Linked DNA regions of Stegostoma tigrinum. The protein of the gene in region 1 interacts with the protein of each later gene in a biochemical or structural test. Links are inferred from orthologs where the notes say so. Each region holds a gene or a part of one and is shown in the gene's direction. Other genes may lie near its edges. The genes, in order: pdgfrb and ptprja.

Region 1 (9,243 bases):
TTTCCTCTTCTGGATCAGTACAGAACCAGGGGACATTGCTTTAAGGTTAGACGTCGCACTTTTAGAGCCGGGACAGGGAGAATTTGTTTTCTCTGAGGCATTTGTGCAATCTTGGAACTCTTTGTCTTAGAAAGCAGTAGAATTTGGAAGCGGGGTGGGGGGGAAGTCACTGGTTATTTTAGAGACTGAGGCAGAGAGATTCTTATTAGGCAAGAGCATCAATGGCTATTCGGGGTAAATAGGTTGTGGATTTCATAACACAAACAGGAAGCCCTGTTCTTACTGAATGTCTGAGCAAGCTCAAGAGGCTGATTGGTCTACTTCTGATCTTATTTATATGTTAGTTTGCAATATAGGAGCAATGTGTGCAACCTCACATCCTAGGGCAATCCAAGAGGCTAAGTTAATGAACGTTTGTTGTACTACCTCCAATGTAAACGTATCACTTCCTAAACATGGAGACCCAAACTGCCCAAAGTATTTCAGATGTGATCCCACCAAAACCCTGACATATGTCATAACACAGCATGGGGCTGGAGGAACACAGCAGGCCAGGCAGCATCAGAGGAGTAGGAAAGATGACGTTTCGGGTCAGGGCCCTTCTTCAGACCCTTTTCTGAAGAAGGGTCCTGACCCAAAATGTCAACTTTCCTGCTCCTGTAATGCTGCCTGGCCTGCTGTGCTCATCCAGCTTAGCTCTGACTCTAGCATCGGCAGTTCTTACTATCCCTGACAATGTGAGTTCTTTTCTTAAAAGAGGAGATACAGGAGGCTGCCTGGAAAGGAGCACTAGGATGTCATACCTGAAGGTGTATAGGAAGTTTCAGAAGAGAAAAATTCACTGCAAACTGAATTATGATTTCCTGTGAGTATCTCAGACTGTGAACATGAAGAGAGAAAAGACAGCTGTCAGAGATACATATTTGGGTGTTTCCCTTTTCAAGAATGATCAAGGAAAGGCAGTTTCAACACTAGCCTAAGTCAGAAGTCATACAACAACAGGTTATAGTCTAACAGGTTTATTTAAAATTACAAGCTTTCAGAGAGCTTCTTCCTCATTGAGTGAAGTGACAAAGGAGCAGAGCTCCAAAAGCTTGTGATTTCAAATAAACCTGTTGGACTATAATCTGGTGTTGTGTGACTTCTGACTTTGTCTATCCCATTACAACACTGGCACCTCCACATCATAGCAACCATGGCCTGTGTGTACTAGTGGACAATAGTGTTAATTTGTACTAACCTGGTTTGAATGTGAGTGTGCTGTAGAGCTCAAAGTCAAAGAACGATCCACTAGACACCCTGGAGTTGCAGGTAAAGGATTTCTACTCTCCTCCTATTTTCTATGTTTCTATGCACTGATTGCTGAAAGTTAGTTAGCAAGCCAGTTGAAAGGAAACCGACAATGCCAAGAATCTCAATATTGCCTTCTCAACTATCAACGTCAACACTACCAGAACTGCACAACGTAAAACATAGAACATAGAACATTACAGCACAGTACAGGCCCTTCAGCCCTCGATGTTGTGCCGACCTGTCATACCAATCTCAAACCCATCTAACCTACACTATTTCATGTACGTCCATATGCTTATCCAATGACGACTTAAATGTACCTAAAGTTGGCGAATCTACTACCATTTCACCGCCTCATCTTCCCAAATGGTGCAGAGACCGATCTGTATATCTTATAACTTTTATCTTTCCTTTTTAATCTATGGTATGTGCATTACATTATTATTTCTTCCCATAATTCATCAAAAATAAACTCTCTCTCATTAACTCGAGAGCCTGGCTAAATTGGTTCCATTTTAAAACACAAGGATTCACCTTATAGAAGCTTATAACATCATGGATAAGATGAATAGCCAAGGTCTTCTGGCCTGTGTAGCAGAGTCCAAAACTAGAAGGCATAGGTTTAAGTCAAGAGGGGAGAGATTTCGAAGGAACGTAAGGGGCAACCTTTTCATGCAGAGGGTGATGCGTGTATAAAATGAGGTGCCAGAGGAAGTGGTGGAGGCTGGTACAATTACAACATTTAAAAGGCAACTGGGTGGGTATTTGTATAGGAAGAATGTAAAGGGATACGGGTCAAATGCTGGCAAATGGGGCTAGATTAATTTAGGATATATGATTGGCGTGGACAAGTTGGACCAAAGGGTCTGTTTCTCTGCTGTACAGCTCTATCACTGACAAATCCACTTGGTCTGGGAGAAAATTATCTGCGAGGAAGGGAATCATTTTTAATTAACCTTGTGGCAGCCGAACCTAGGTGAATAAGGAAGGGGAGCCAGTTCATCCCTCCCTCAAGCCGGAGTTTGACAGTTTGCAGTAGTCCATCTGGATCTGTAATAAAATTGGGCGACTACCCCTGGAGAGTGGTTGTGATAACTTCTAAAGCATGTTTCAGGACATCAGCATTCCCAAAATGCTGAACACCCAATGAAGTACTTTGGAAATTGCAATGTAGGAAAGATGATAGTCAACTTGCACACAGCAAGCTCCCGCAAAACAGCAATGTGATAGCTGATCAGATGATCCATTGCTTTCTCACACCTCTGTGCCATTGTGTTCATCTTCATCTAAGAAATGTCCTGGAAGCCCCTTGAAACTTTGTAACCCATACTGTTAAGGGGGTAGTGAACAGATGTGAACAGGGTCACTGTGGATTCTAAGAGAGAAATTCAGAACCAAATTGTGAATCAGGTGCTGGCACAATTTTACCTTTTTCTTCCTCAAGACCATTGCTTGCTAATGGAAGCAAAGTCTTGATAAATTATGTTAACAATTATTCCATTTCATTTCAGTGCACAATGGCCACAGCACACATCATTTACAAGTATCACAGCAGCAAATCATCAGGGGTCCTTTGATATTAACTTCCGTACTACATACACTTATGTCAAGAAAGTCAAAGACAGCAAAAACAGAGAAACATCATAACTTACAAAATCCCTGTAGAATCCCTACAGGGCGGGAGGAGGCCATTCAGTCCATCAAGTCTACACCAACCCTCCAAAGAGCATCCCATACACATCATTCCTATAACCTCGCATTTACCATGGCTAATCCACCTAGCCTGCACACTACAGGGCGATTTAGCATGGCCAATCCACCTAACCTGTACATCTGTGGACTCTGGGAGGAAATCAGAATACATGGAGGAGACCGACAGAGCCATGGGGGACAGTATGCAAACTCCACACAGACAGTTAACCAAGGCTAGAATCAAAGCCAGGTTCTTGGCTCCGTGAGGCAGCAGTGCTAACCACTGAGGCACCGTGCAACTTGACACATGCACAATCCTCATTTCAAAACATATTGGTCCCTTGTTCATCAAAGCCAGGTCAAAATGCTGGAATTCCAACAATGCTGTGGGAGTAGCTGCACCATTTGGACTTCAGTGGTTTTAAGAAGTAGATCAACTACCAACTTGTTAATGGGAACTCACACACTCTTCTCCTGGCTTCCTAATATTACAAACATCACTGTCCAACACTTCCGCTGACTGATGAAAACCTCCAAGGCTGGTTGAAACTATTTGTGCCGAACCTACTTACCCAATTGCTGATGGCCTGTTCCTTCTAGCCATCCTACATGGAGCAACCTTTCTGAACCAGATCCACCAAGATACATCCCTCGGACCAAGCAATGGAAGCCATGAACAATTTCCTCGTGACAAACCCCATCTATCAAATGTGAACTACCATTACAAGAGTGGCCTCAGCTAAACAAGTTCAGAACAGGTCAGCGCTCTTTTGCAGTCAACCTTCTTCACTGGGGCCTCTTCTGCCAGTTGTGTAGAGACTCAAACAATGCTGCATATTATGGAGGAATGTTCCCTCTACATCCTAAATGCCAGACCAATAACCTTGAACTTAGCAAACGAAGAGGCTACGGCTTGGCATCAGGTTTCACATTTGCTAAATAAATGGGAAATGTAGGATAAGCAATAAATGCTAGTCTTGCTAAAGATGCAGACATTCCAAGATTTTTTAAAGTATGCTTTCATCAAACTGACTGTATAACTAATTCAGAGATAGTAAGAACTGCAGATGCTGGAGTCTGAGATAACACAGTATGGAGCTGGAGGAACACAGCAGGCCAGGCAGCATCAGAGGAGCAGGAAAGTTAACATTTCAGACCTGAAACATCAACTTTCCTGCTCCTCTGATACTGCTTGGCCGGCTGTGTTCCTCCAGGCACACACCGTGTGTAACTAATGGTCCAATGGTCCCTCTACAATTAGTCGCTATTACCAGTAGAGGTGCTGTGGCACCACCAAGTGGTCAGAATTTACAGCGTGACATGTTTACATGAAGTTTTTCCAGCCTCTAACAAATTTAAAGAAGAAACAAAAGTGTGAATTCAACGGGCTTGGCAGCATGTGTAAAGAAATAATCAGAGTTAACGTTTTAAACTTTAAACTGCGAAATATTAACTCTGATTCTTCACAGATGCTGCCAGACCTGCTGAGCTTTTCCAGCAACTTTGTTTTTGTTCCTGATTTACAGCATGCGTAGTTCTTTCGGTTTTCGTTAGTTGTGAATTCAGTGCCTGTTAAAATGGGGATTACACTGGATATGTAACCTTGATTTAATAATGTCATCTCATTTTACCTAAAAATTGCACATACTCCCGATTCCCAAGCAAAGAGTAATTTAAATATTGCAAGCAGACCAGATTAAACTATTCATTAAAGACGTTTCCCTTTGAAGAATATTGGAATTAAAGTCGAATTAAGTTTGACTTCCTGAATAGTGAAGGGAGAAATAGGCACGGGGCAACATTCCTTGCTGACAGAGGGTTAAAATCAGGATGGACTAGGAATTTATAAACTCACCACAGTCCTTAATTTCTTCCATATGTAACCTTGTACGTGTCAGTATCTCCCTAACCAGGGGCTATGCGTTTGAATCTGTGATTCCAGTCACTACGTTTTGTTAGCAATGTGCCTCATCTCGACATTTCGTGTCAAACTGTGTTTAAGAAAGAACTCGCACTTTCGAAGGGATAAAACAGCACGGATTGGCTTATAACATACAAGAATAAAGCGAGAGAAGGTTTGAAGTCGATTCATTGACCGTGAGTCAACTCTTGGCATGGAGAGGCAGGGCTCTCGACATCCTTTTTAAATCCCACACACATACACAAAAAAAAGTTTGGGCAAATTGCCAGACTGCAAAGGGAATTGTCTCAGAGTTGGAGCACTCAAGAGAAAATCAGCACTGCTCTCAATCCTCCCGTCCCAGCACTAGAGGTTTTTTTTTCCCCCCGATAAGTTCCAGGAAGATTTCCTTTCTGTTTCTCTCTCGGAATGTATTTTTAAAACACACACGGTGCCGTCCTCAACCAAACTCGAGCAGTTTCTTGCCTCTCCTGCGGAGTTTGCTCTTTAAAAAAGTGTTTGGAGAAGCATTTTTTTTCTCTCTGTGTGTGTTTGTCCCCTCCTCCCCCGTTACAACCAGGCGATTCTACAATAGGAGGCTGAGACTGGGCTGCCAGTGTTATTCCAGACCTCTTCCCTGAGCCTTTCCTGAGGAATGGACTCCCTCAAAGGCAAGTCTCCCACCGCCGAGATCTCCAGGTGAGTTAATCTTGGCTGGTCATTCTGGGCTCGGTTGGTGTGGCTTGTCCCCTCAAGTTTTGTGGAAATGGGAAACTTCTGAAGATTAGTTGGATTGAGAATTTCCTCCTTTGCATTTTTTAACCCCTTGGTGTCTACAAGTCACCTCCACTTGAGGTGGGGAGCGATTTTTGTTCTTTTGATCACAGATGTCAGGGAGTTTTGAAGATTCACTAGGAGATTTCATTGCAAGGGAAGGGGTAGAGGAGATACACCAGGATGTTGCCTGGGATGGAGTATTGCAGCTATGAAGAGAGGTTGGACAAGTCTGGGTTGTTTTGCAGAAAAGGCTGAGGGGGTCCTCCTGGTAGAGGTGCATCAGATTACGAGGGACACAGGATGAATAGAAAGCTGCAGTTTTCCTTAGTCCAAGGGTCAGTAACAAGGGAGCTTACATTTTAAGTGAAAGGCAGGATGCTTAGGTGAAATTTAAGGAAAATCCTCTAACATAGTGTGTGATGAGGGTCAGGGATGCAAATGCCTGGGAGGGTAGTTGAGCCAAGAAAGCTCACAACCTTTAAAAAGTACTTGGGTGAGCGCTTGAAATGTCATAACATTCAAGGCTGTGCAGGAAAGTGGGATGTGTCCATTTAGGTTGGTCCATGCAGACTTGATGGGCTGAAGGGCCTCTTCTGTCCTGAATTATTCTAAGAACCAAATGAGGCGATGAGAAATGTTATGGTCAGGAGAGTCCTCCACTGGCCTGAGAGGGAGATGGAAGCACATTCAATAAGAAGTTGGAAGTTGGAGCAATATTTGATAGAGGTTTAAAAGGCATGGCTATGGGGAAAGAATAGAGAGGATGGGACAAATCCAATATCTTGATAAAAGAGGAAGTATAGGTATGTTGGGCCAAGAGGTCATTGTCTGTGCTGACTGGTTCAATGACACAGCTCCTCATTTTATTATTGTTAGAAGCTGCAATGAATTAGTGGAATGTGCAGAGTCGGCAAGAGGACAGCTCCTTATATGTATGTTTCTAACACAAAAAAAATTAGATCAGATTTTGATGATGGCTTTAATTATTTGCATTCTTCTGCAAATTGTCATCTTCTTCCGCCAGATCTTAACGATGAGTTTGCCTGGGATTTTCTCTCTCTCTCTGCCTTCGAAACAGGAAAAGGGAGTTTTTAAAAGTCTGTTGCTGAATGAGTAAAAGGTCTTGTCGTGAGCTTGGCGTGTCTCTGTTGGGATCTAAGTGCTTCACTGGAGATTATTCTTGGAGTTTGACAGCACACAGAGACAAGGCCTGGATGCCGGAAGTTGAAATGCTGGGTCACATGTTTAGACTGATATGTCATGGATCCCAAGCTATCTTCACTTCCTTACCCTATTACTTACCTGTTGATGAGGAGATGAAAGTGTTAAATACTCATGCTTGAGAAATAAAGACCCTTAATGTGCTGGTATCTGAGCAAAAAAGCTCACTAAGAGGCATACATATGACCTGTTCCTCAAGGTGGAGAATTTGGGACAAATGGCATGCATTATCCACAGAGTGAAACCACTTCGATCAAACTTTTGATCACTTATCCTCAGATCTTCGCAACTGGCTCAGATATGGGAAGACTATGGCAATGGACTAGCATGCTAGAGGATCAGGCTTATTCTTTGGGATGCTGGTTCAGATCTCACCAGGGCACCTCATGGCCTCTATATTCTATTGATAAGAAATAAATCTTGAATTGGAAGTCAGTTTCTGAAATAGTGACCCATCTGTATTACCCTGAGAAATGATGGTTGTAGCTGCCATCTTCTTGAAGCATAGTAGCCCACGTTGTGTCTTTTTGTTAACAGGCTTAACATAAGCACTATCTTTGTTAGGCCATTTCACAGGGCAGTTTAGAGTCAACCACGTTGTTAGAGGAGCTTTACAAGGACTGATTTTCTTCCCTGAAATATAACAGTTGCATTTCTGTGACATACCATCAGCTTTGTGCTCACTTGTGCGAATTTATGCCATAAGGTTATGTTACATTAGATTGGTGATTTGTTTTATTTATCTATTTCTGCATGCATAGATTCTCAAAATGGACATGCTTTTGTTTAAATCAGAAACTACAGGAGGGGAACCAAGGCTAGATTCTTACTGGAGCTTACAGTGATTTGAATCATGCATGCAGCATGTTGTACAATGGAATGTGGATATGTAACTGATTATGTTACTCTGATATCAGTAGGGCAGGAGAACAGACCAGACAGAAGCTTGTAATGAAACAAGTGGAAGATATACAGTTGAGAGACAAATTCAGTTATCTGTGCAAACATAAATGTAAATAGAGTGTTAATGTATTGAATAAAGTGATAGAGCCTTACTCTAACATAACAATGAACGAATGAAATGAGTGACCAAGAGTGGCAAGATAACAAAGTGTGGAGCTGGATGAACACAGCAGGCCCAGCAGCATCTCAGGAGTACAAAAGCTGACGTTTTGGGCCTAAACCCTTCATCAGAGAGGGGGATGGGTTGAGGGTTCTGGAATAAATAGGGAGAGAGGGGGAGGCGGACTGAAGATGGAGAGAAAAGAAGACAGGTGGAGAGGAGAGTATAGGTGGGGAGGTAGGGAGGGGATAGGTCAATCCAGGGAAGATGGACAGGTCAAGGAGGTGGGATGAGGTTAGTAGGTAGGAGATGGAGGTGCGGCTTGAAGTGGGAGGAAGGGATGGGTGAGAGGAAGAACAGGTTAGGGAGGCAGAGACAGACTGCACTGGTTTTGGGATGCAGTGGGTGGAGGGGAAGAGCTGGGCTCGTTGTGTGGTGCATTGGGGGGAGGGACGAGCTGGGCTGGTTTTGGGATGCGTTGGGGGAAGGGGAGATTTTGAAACTGGTGAAGTCCACATTGATACCATTGGGCTGTAGGGTTCCCAAGCGGAATATGAGTTGCTGTTCCTGCAACTTTCGGGTGGCATCATTGTGGCACTGCAGGAGGCCCATGATGGACATGTCATCTAAAGAATGGGAGGGGTAGTGGAAATGGTTTGCGACTGGGAGGTGCAGTTGTTTATTGCGAACCGAGCGGAGGTGTTCTGCAAAGCGGTCCCCAAGCCTCAATGTAGAGGAAGCCACACCAGGTACAATGGATACAGTATACCACATTGGCAGTTGTGCAGGTGAACCTCTGCTTAATATGGAAAGTCATCTTGGGGCCTGGGATAGGGGTGAGGGAGGAGGTGTGGGGGCAAGTGTAGCATTTCCTGCGGTTGCAGGGGAAGGTGCCGGGTGTGGTGGGGTTGGAGGGCAGTGTGGAGCGAACAAGGGAGTCACGGAGAGAGTGGTTTCTCTGGAAAGCAGACAAGGGTGGGGATGGAAAAATGTCTTGGGTGGTGGGGTCGGATTGTAGATGGCGGAAGTGTCGGAGGATGATGCGTTGTATCCGGAGGTTGGTGGGGTGGTGTGTGAGAACGGTCGGATTGTAGATGGCGGAAGTGTCGGAGGATTATGGTCGGGTTGTAGAGACACCAGCTTCAAAATCTCCCCTTCCCCCACCGCATCCCAAAACCAGCCCAGTTCATCCCCTCCCCCCACTGCACCACACAACCAGCCCAGCTCTTTCCCTCCGCCCACTGCATCCCAAAACCAGTCCAACCTGTCTCTGCCTCCCTAACCGGTTCTTCCTCTC
Region 2 (9,149 bases), on another chromosome or scaffold:
AACTGGACGCAGTATTCCAAGTGCGGTCTAACCAAAGTTTTATAGAGCTGCAACAAGATCTCACGACTCTTAAACTCAATCCCCCTGTTAATGAAAGCCAAAACACCATATGCTTTCTTAACAACCCTGTCCACTTGGGTGGCCATTTTAAGGGATCTATGTATCTGCACACCAAGATCCCTCTGTTCCTCCACGCTGCCAAGAATCCTATCCTTAATCCTGTACTCAGCTTTCAAATTCGACCTTCCAAAATGCATCACCTCGCATTTATCCAGGTTGAACTCCATCTGCCACCTCTCAGCCCATCTCTGCATCCTGTCAATGTCCCGCTGCAGCCTACAACAGCCCTCTACACTGTCAACGACACCTCCGACCTTTGTGTCGTCTGCAAACTTGCTGACCCATCCTTCAATTCCCTCGTCCAAGTCATTAATAAAAATTACAAACAGTAGAGGCCCAAGGACAGAGCCCTGTGGAACCCCACTCACCACTGACTTCCAGGCAGAATATTTTCCTTCTACTACCACTCGCTGTCTTCTGTTGGCCAGCCAATTCTGTATCCAAGCAGCTAAGTTCCCCTGTATCCCATTCCTCCTGACCTTCTGAATGAGCCTTCCATGGGGAACCTTATCAAATGCCTTACTGAAGTCCATATACACCACATCCACAGCTTGACCCTCATCAACCTTACTAGTCACATCCTCAAAAAACTCGATAAGGTTTGTAAGGCATGACCTACCCCTCACAAAGCCGTGTTGACTGTATTTGATCAAGCCATGCTCTTCCAGATGGTCATAAATCTTATCCCTCAGAATCCTTTCTAACACCTTGCAGACGACAGACGTGAGACTTACCGGTCTATAATTGCCGGGGATTTCCCTATTTCCTTTCTTGAAGAGAGGAATTACATTTGCCTCTCTCCAGTCCTCAGGTACGACTCCAGTGGAGAGCGAGGATGCAAAGATCTTCGCAAGTGGCGAAGCAATTGCATTTCTCGCTTCCCAAAGCAGCCGAGGACAAATCTGATCCGGGCCTGGCGACTTGTCAATCTTAATGTTTGACAAAATTTTCAGTACATCAGCTTCCTCTATCTCTATCCATTCCAGCATGCACACCTGCTCTTCAAAGGTTTCATTCACTACACAGGTCGTTTCTTTCGTAAAGACAGAAGCAAAAAACTCATTTAGGGCTTCCCCTACCTCCTCAGGCTCCACACACAAGTTCCCTATGCTATCCCTGATCGGCCCTACTCTTTCTTTGACCATTCTCTTATTCCTCACGTAAGTGTAAAATGCCTTTGTGTTTTCCCGGATTCCTTCTGCCAAGCCTTTCTCGTGCCCCCTCCTGGCTCTCCTCAGACCATTTTTGAGCTCCTTCCTTGCCTGCATGTAATCCTCTCTAGCTGAACTTGACCCTAGCTTCCTCCACCTTATGTAAGCTACCTTCTTCCTTTTCACTAGAAGCTCCACCGCTCTCGTCATCCAAGGTTCCTTTATCTTACCCCGTCTTGCCTGTCTCAGAGGGACATATTTACTCATCACTCCCAACAACTGTTCCTTAAACCATCTCCACATGTCTATAGTTCCCTTACCATGGAACAACTGCTCCCAGTCCATGCTTCCTAACTCGTGTCTAATCGCATCATAGTTTCCTCTTCCCCAATTAAATATCCTCCCATTCTGCCTAATCCTCTCCTTCTCCATAGCTATGTAGAATGAGAGAGTGTTATGGTCACTATCACCAAAATGCTCTCCCACCACAAGATCTGATACCTGCCCCGGCTCGTTTCCGAGCACCAAGTCTAGAATGGCCTCTCCCCTCGTCGGCCTGTCAACGTACTGCGTTAGGAAACCCTCCTGAACACACCTTACAAAAACAGCTCCATTCAAATCTTCTGCTCGAAGGAGGTTCCAATCAATATTAGGAAAGTTAAAGTCACCCATTACAACAACCCTACTGCGTCCACACTTTTCCAAAATCTGTCGACCTATGCTTTCTACAATCTCCCTGCTGCTATTGGGGGGCCTGTAGTAAACCCCTAACGAGGTGACTACTCCCTTGCTGTTCCTAATTTCCACCCATACTGACTCAGTAGGCAGATCTTCCTCGACAATGGAAGCTTCTGTAGCTGTGATACCCTCTCTGATTAGTAGTGCTACACCCCCTCCTCTTTTTGCCCCCTCCCTATTCTTTTTAAATGTTCTAAACCCTGGAACATCCAGCAACCATTCCAGCCCATGAGAAACCCATGTCTCTGTTATGGCCACAACATCATAGCACCAGGTACTGATCCATGCTCTAATTTTGATGAATGTGGAGACTTTTGCGAACCAAACGTTTGCAAATTTTAATATTTGATTGAGTGCAATAGCGCTGATATCGTGAGGGCTTGGTGAGACAGTAAAGTAGGATCTTGTGGAAGATAAATCTAATACCGGGCTCCTGCATCTTCTTTGTAGTGATGTACAGCCTGTTCTTTTAACCTCTTAGTAGTTGAGCATCTTTACATCTTTGGTTGTTCTGCAAGGGTCAGAAGGTGGTTGTCTTTAGACAGATTAGTCCACATGTGTCCCTGAAGAACTTTAGAAGATATGGGTGGCAGCGCACATGACACACTCTTCTTGCTTTTGATTACAATTTTTCCCTTTTGTCTCTAAAATCAAGACTCCACATATTTTGAATGACTGTATTAAATCTTTGTTTAATCTTCTTACCTCTAAATTGAACAATCCCACATCCTCCAGACCCCACACAGAGCACCTCATCCCAAAATTTATGTTAAACAAATCTACACAAACAGAAACAAAATTAATGGCCAATGACTATCATACTCAATAGTAATGAGTGAGGAAGGAAAATTGCTAAGATAACAAGTACTATATTTGCAAATATACTCTTATAAAATTACTATTATGAGGGGGCACAATTTTAAGGAAGGTGTAGGGGAGATTTCAGAGGTAGGTTCTTCACACAGAGACAGGTGGGTGTGTGGAATGCGCTGCTGGCAGTTGTAGTGTAGTCAGATATTTTAGAGACTTTTAAGCAACTCTTGGATAAGTACATAGAGGATAGTAAAATGCAAATTATGCAGTGTAGATTGATCTTAGTAGGATAGTAGGTCAGCACAACATCGTGGGCTGAAGAGCCTGTACTGCGCAGTGCTGTTCTGTTCCATGTTCTACATAAATGTTTAATAATTACCAATGACTACTACATGTAGGAACTTCCTTTCCCCTTCAAAGTTCTTATACATGTTGCCACATTCAAAGTCCATGCCCACCTTTCCCAAAATTCCATGTTTGAACCAAACTCAACAGGTCTGCCCCAGCCACAATACTAAAGTGGCCCTTACCAGGCCACAAATGACATCTTATGTGACCATGATAATGGTGCATTGTATCTCCTTATTCTTATTGATTTGTTTGTCTCTGACACAGTTGACCACTTTGCCTGTCTTCAATGCTTCCAGTCTGTTGTCCTGACTCCCTCAGAAGGTTCTGTTCTTATCAGTCCAGTTCTTTCCTTCCTGCTTCAGCATTATTACTTCTGGAGATGCTCAGTATCTGTCATTGACACCTCTTATTTGTCATTTATAGCAATATCGTCTTAAAAAATACCATGTCACCTTCCACACAAATGACAATGAAACCTTGCTATATCTCACCAGCCCCTCTTGTGGCAGCAGCCGTTGAATCTAGTTTGTAATGGTGTCAACCCAAAACCTGGTATTGGATGAGCACAATTTGTTTCCATTAAATAATGCTTAGCCTGCAGCCTTCGTTTTCATTCCATACCACAAACTCCACATCCCAGCCATTGACTTGCTCCTTACTGTGGCTAATTCTGAAACAAAGGCACACAGTTGGCACGCCCCTTGACCTTACTCTGTGCTTCCAACCCTTCAGCATCAGGACTGCCCACACTCATTTCCATTACATTACCAATATCCTTCTTTTGCTACTGCTGAAACTTTATGTTATCTCCAGATGCAAAACTTCAATGCTTTTGTGCCCAGTCTCCTTTCCTCCAGACTCAGTCAACTTCAAATCACCCAGAACTCTGTAACTTGTGTCATAAGCCACAGATCCCACCATTCCTGTGCTTACTCACATTGGCTGCAGGCCTGACAATGCTTCTAAGTTAAAAATCTCCATCTTAGCCCTCAAATCCTTCCTTGGCCACCTCTCTCCCTAATGCTGTCATATCTTGCAGTCTTACAACTCTCTGATATCTCTGCAACCCCCTGATTTTGGGCCCTGGCTTTCATAACCCACTAATTACAGCTATGTTGCAGATGCCTCTGGATTTAGTGATGGATTTTCTCCTGTAAACTATTCCTCCTTGCATTACATCATCTAATCTGGGGCAAAATCCACATACATGACCCAGTCAGACAAAACATTGCTTACTTACCATGATTTTTTTAGGCCCAACTTCCGATGCAGGATCTATCCCAACATTCAAGGTGCAGAATACCTTTGCAGGAAGAATCAAACTAAAAGTTGTTTCCCTTTTCATGGCATACTTGTTACTGTGTTCTCATCACTATGTGTGAAATTCGAATGACAAGTTACTGAGAGAAGTTAAGTGTGTCGAGCTTTTCCAGTCAAAATACTCAACGACGTTATTACACCCTCCAAAGCAAGGTAGTATTTGACCCTGGGTCTCCTGTTTTAGAAGTGCGGACAGTACCACTGCACGAGCAGGTTAGTGGGTGAGGGTGTAGACTGGCAGTGGGTGACTAAGGAGGTGGTTCAGGGAACGGGGAAGCAGATCCAGGGTCTGGTGTCCTGGGCAGAGGCAATGTGAGTGGGTGATCCAGCAAGGATTCAGGTGGAGGAGTCAGTTGTTTGGGAGTTGGAGCAGGAGATCCTTGAAAATCTCCCGGATTACTATCCAAGTAAGAGAGTCGACACCGTCCAAAGTCTCTAATTCTAACTCAGAATTAGACACTTTGGCATACTTCCTGGCAAATTAGAATATTCCTCATGGCCGTTTCCATTGGGACCTCGAAGGGTGCCCAACACCTGCCTTTCAGAAGGCCTGGGCACAGAGTGTACTGGGTCATTGGGACATACTGGTTAGTGCCTGCAGTGTTCATATTTTCACAGCAACCTTCAACTACACTACATCCCACCCCATCACTCTGAGGCTTTCATTTTGAGTTTCTGTTTGAGGCGGTCAGTGACTTCTATTTGAAGTTTGGTTTCCCCCACAGCCTCTCTTTCCCAAGAGGCTTTTGGTCACCCAACCTAATACTTCTTGATGTGGTTCAGGGTCAAGCTTTGCTGGTTACGCTTTGTAAAGTAGTAAATGCAGGAGATTTTTTTAATGCGCTGCCTCTGGTGAAATCCGTTTATGTAATTTTCAGTGAAAATAACTGTGAGGTGGGGGTGGAATTGACATTGGCTAACAAATGGAACTGCAGGTGAATGGAAGTACCCTGTTGACTGGGCCAGCTCGTTGTACTGCCTGAACTCAGCAGGTCAATGCTCGGGAGTGTTTTCTCTGACGTTACAGAACGGGCTCCACCCTTTCTTTAATTCAACTTTCTTCCTCCTAGCAGTTCAGGCTAGTGCTTCACTGCACAGCCCCTCTCTCCCGTGAACATAATGGGCTTCGGCTGTGGGTTTGCTGGCAGCAAGGTGAAGTGAGTCATTTCTGTTTGACAGAAAAAAAGAAAGAGAGAAGTTGGCGAACGGTTCGGCGCAGAGTCACGACTGCTGAAAGGGGGAGAAAGAGAGAAAAACAAAAAGTTTTCATTGGAAACTGTTGTAGTTTCCTGGATCGAGGATGGAGCCAACTTGGCGTAATGTAATGATGCTGCTGGCCAGCGCCTTCCTGTTTCAGGTGAGAATAGTGGGTAGTTGTAAGTTTTCTGTCTGTGTGTGTGTGTAGGGTAGGGGTGGGCTGTTACTGTGGATAAAGATGCGGGAACTGCCCTGTTGCACCTGCCGACGGCACTGTTTATCTCCTCCTCACTGAGGAGATGGGGTTCGGAGTATCCGCACCTGAAACGGGACACAGTATGCTGGAGATAGACCTCTTGCTGTCTCTCTGTCGCTAACACCCCCCACCAGTTCGCTCACTTGTTTAGCAATTAACTCGCCTGCTCAAGAGTTGCACAATCCCGATTTAAAGTAAGTGTATTCAAGTCCCCAGAATCAAAGCAACATTCCCTTTCATAGAAATTTTGCCGTAAAGTTTCAATGAACTGTTTTATTTACAAGTTATTAGCATACTTAAAGTTAGTAAATAGGGAGGGGGAGGGGGAAACAACATGCAACCACCAGAGATCATCTCCTTCCGAATACTACACATTTTAAATATGTAATGTTGTAAAGTCGTGCGTCTCTTGTGCTAGAATCTTTCGAACAACTTCAGTTCTTTTTGCAATGTGCTTCTCAGTGTTAAGAAAGAATGCTTTGCTTTGGGGTTACCCATGACCCTACTTGACCCACTGCTTTGATTAATTGCCTGAATGTTCATCCCAAGTTGGGGATGAGCCACTGTGAATTCTTTTGCTGTCCTGCCCAGGATTATACTCCTTTCTGTACCAGGCAAACCAGGCACTAATAATCCAGAGATAATGGGAACAGCAGATGCTGGAGAATCCAAGATAATAAAGTGTGAAGCTGGATGAACACAGCAGGCCAAGCAGCATCTCAGGACCACAAAAGCTGACGTTTCGGGCCTAGACCCTTCATCAGAGAGAGCTCTCCAGCTCATCCAGCTTCACACTTTATTAACTAATAGTCCAGAGATAGTCGGAACTGCTGAAGCTGGAGAATCTGAGATAACAAGGTGTAGAGCTGGATGAACACAGCAGGCCAAGCAGCACCTGAGGAACAGGAAAGCTGATGTTTCGGGCCTCGACCCTTCTTCAATCCAGCAGTGATTTCTGGAATAGGCCATCAGTTATACACCTGTCTTCGTGCTCAAGTCTCTGATCTGATGCGCTAGATGACAGACATATCTTGTGAATTGGGAGAAACATTTTAAATGGAAACAATTAATTTTATACAGTAGGTTTTAATTAATACAATTTACAAAGAATTCCTGGAGAGGCAGATATTGCATTTTGGTTTCTGCTTTGGTTACTTTTAGAGAAGTGAATCAGTACATTTTCTGAAATTTTAATGGCTAGTCTCTCTACTGATGGGATATAATTATAGCTAAAAGGTAGTTGACAAAAGTACCATATCAGATTCATGGGTAATGGTGCATATCACCATTAAGACTAAATGCTTCTAAATACATTCAGTTGGGTGGCGTTCTTCCCTACCCACCCTTTTTGTTTGCTGTATAGATTATTTGAGATTACTAAATTTATTTCCTTTCATACGGGCATGCTTTGCTATGTCGCGTTTAGTCAAAGTATCAACTGACAGTGTGCTGAGCCCCCAAGTTCGCATTTTTACCAAAGAAGTACACAAGCCTTAGTTTCTTGTCCCGTCCCTGCTGACAACATTGTAACTTGCATTTGTATATCAGGGCTTTTCCAGAATGAAACATTCCATTGTTTTTCACATCCAGCGGCAAAGCAACGAGTAGAAGGGAAATGACCAAAGGTGCTGTTGAAGCCATGGATATGGAGGAGGTTTTGAAACTGGGAAGACATGAGAGAGTAGGCAAGGCGACTGATACTGTGCAGTTAGTAATGGAGAGGAGGACTGCTATGGTGCACCTTGCTTGGGCTCAAGAATGTCTTTGCCAGTGTCGTCAGGAATGGCACTGCAGCATGCAGCATAGGAACAGTGTAGGCTATACACAGGGAAATCAGGCTGAAGGAAACTGCAGAAAAGTTCTGTTGAATAATTCTTCAAATTGAGTATTTTGCAGTTGGTACACCAGTTTACTAAAGGCACCTGAGTTGGTGAGCAGGAGTTAGTGCAAATTTAATGTGGGTGACTTGACAACTGTTAAGAACGGAGCAAAAGAACCCTGGCTGACTCCACCAAAAGTAAGGCAGGGTTTCAGCAACCTTATGCATGAGATAGAGATGGATATGGAAATAAATAGTGTTGATGATATCCTGTGTGAATACTAAATCAGGGCAGGGCCACGCACTGTCACATGCAATTTAGTCTGCCTGCCTAGGTTACGTGCGTCTTGTACTGGTCTTAAGATAATTTCCTTCAAACATTCAGATTGGTCTGTGATGCTGCGATCAGATCTGATAATTATTCTGCATTAGCCAAAGATCTGAATGGAGAAAGCCATTATATCTTTTCCCCTGCCAGACCACTGAAGGAATAGGAGTTCAGACGTAGTGGTCAAAAATGTGGGGAAAGTTTTTGACACCTTTTTTTAAATAAAAGATCTGCCCTTTTTGAATTAGGAAGAACAGGGACCCCTCCTAAACACTGAACAACTCAAGTTATAGATATGATTTTCCACTGGACTTCTGCAAGGCCTTTTGAAGGGCCATAGAGATTAATGATGTAACCAATTTCTGGAAATCTCTTTGAATACATGTTAATTCACAGTGGGTCCAAACTTAAAAATTGCATTTAAGTGTAGATTGAAAATATTTGTATATACCCCCATGTCCGGCTTGATAAAGGTGAGTACCTAGCAGTTAAAATAGTCCAGTCAAGCTGTTGGGGCATTTATCGTTTGAAAGCACAACCCTAGATTCAACATGTACTTTGTTGATAATCAGCATTGCGTTACCAGCATGGCTAGTGATCCCTCACTGACTCTGATTTGCCATGCTGCTTGTCAGACATCAAGATGAATCAAGAGTGACTTCAATTAAGCATTATGTAAATAAATAATAACACTAGCCATTGACTTTGTCCTCTGCTTTAATTACAATCCATCATCTCACTGCCTGAGCCTGAAGCAGGACTGTTCAGAAACCACGACGTTTTATTTGATGTTGAATTTCCAGACTGATGTATGTATGAATGTACATCTCTGTATCATCGAGACTGCCTATTTTCACTGTTTAGCATTATCTATCTTCTCCTGCACTGTAGCCTATCTGCTAATGCTCCCTATTTCTCCTTTTGATGTCTGTCAATTGAATGTACTTCTGACCAACCGTCTAACTTGTGTCGTTGGCATACTCCACCCGTATCCAGCTTGTGCCAATCTCTGTTTGACACTCTCCTTGTTGCTACCTACGTTTCCTGCAAGTGTGA

Evidence for each region.
Region 2: of the proteins of pdgfrb (region 1) and ptprja, one has a biochemical effect on the other in vitro, tested with the Homo sapiens proteins (2 studies listed by IntAct). The link is inferred for Stegostoma tigrinum from reciprocal best matches to the Homo sapiens genes PDGFRB and PTPRJ.

Annotation. Positions count from the first base shown.
Region 1 is NC_081366.1:10,720,999-10,730,241, forward strand, and holds the start of pdgfrb (platelet-derived growth factor receptor beta), read left to right. Parts: upstream 1-5,170; 5' UTR 5,171-5,540; coding exon 5,541-5,584; intron 5,585-9,243. UniProt on the Homo sapiens protein: Tyrosine-protein kinase that acts as a cell-surface receptor for homodimeric PDGFB and PDGFD and for heterodimers formed by PDGFA and PDGFB, and plays an essential role in the regulation of embryonic development, cell proliferation, survival, differentiation, chemotaxis and migration.
Region 2 is NC_081370.1:8,171,904-8,181,052, forward strand, and holds the start of ptprja (receptor-type tyrosine-protein phosphatase eta), read left to right. Parts: upstream 1-5,566; 5' UTR 5,567-5,793; coding exon 5,794-5,850; intron 5,851-9,149. UniProt on the Homo sapiens protein: Tyrosine phosphatase which dephosphorylates or contributes to the dephosphorylation of CTNND1, FLT3, PDGFRB, MET, KDR, LYN, SRC, MAPK1, MAPK3, EGFR, TJP1, OCLN, PIK3R1 and PIK3R2. Plays a role in cell adhesion, migration, proliferation and differentiation.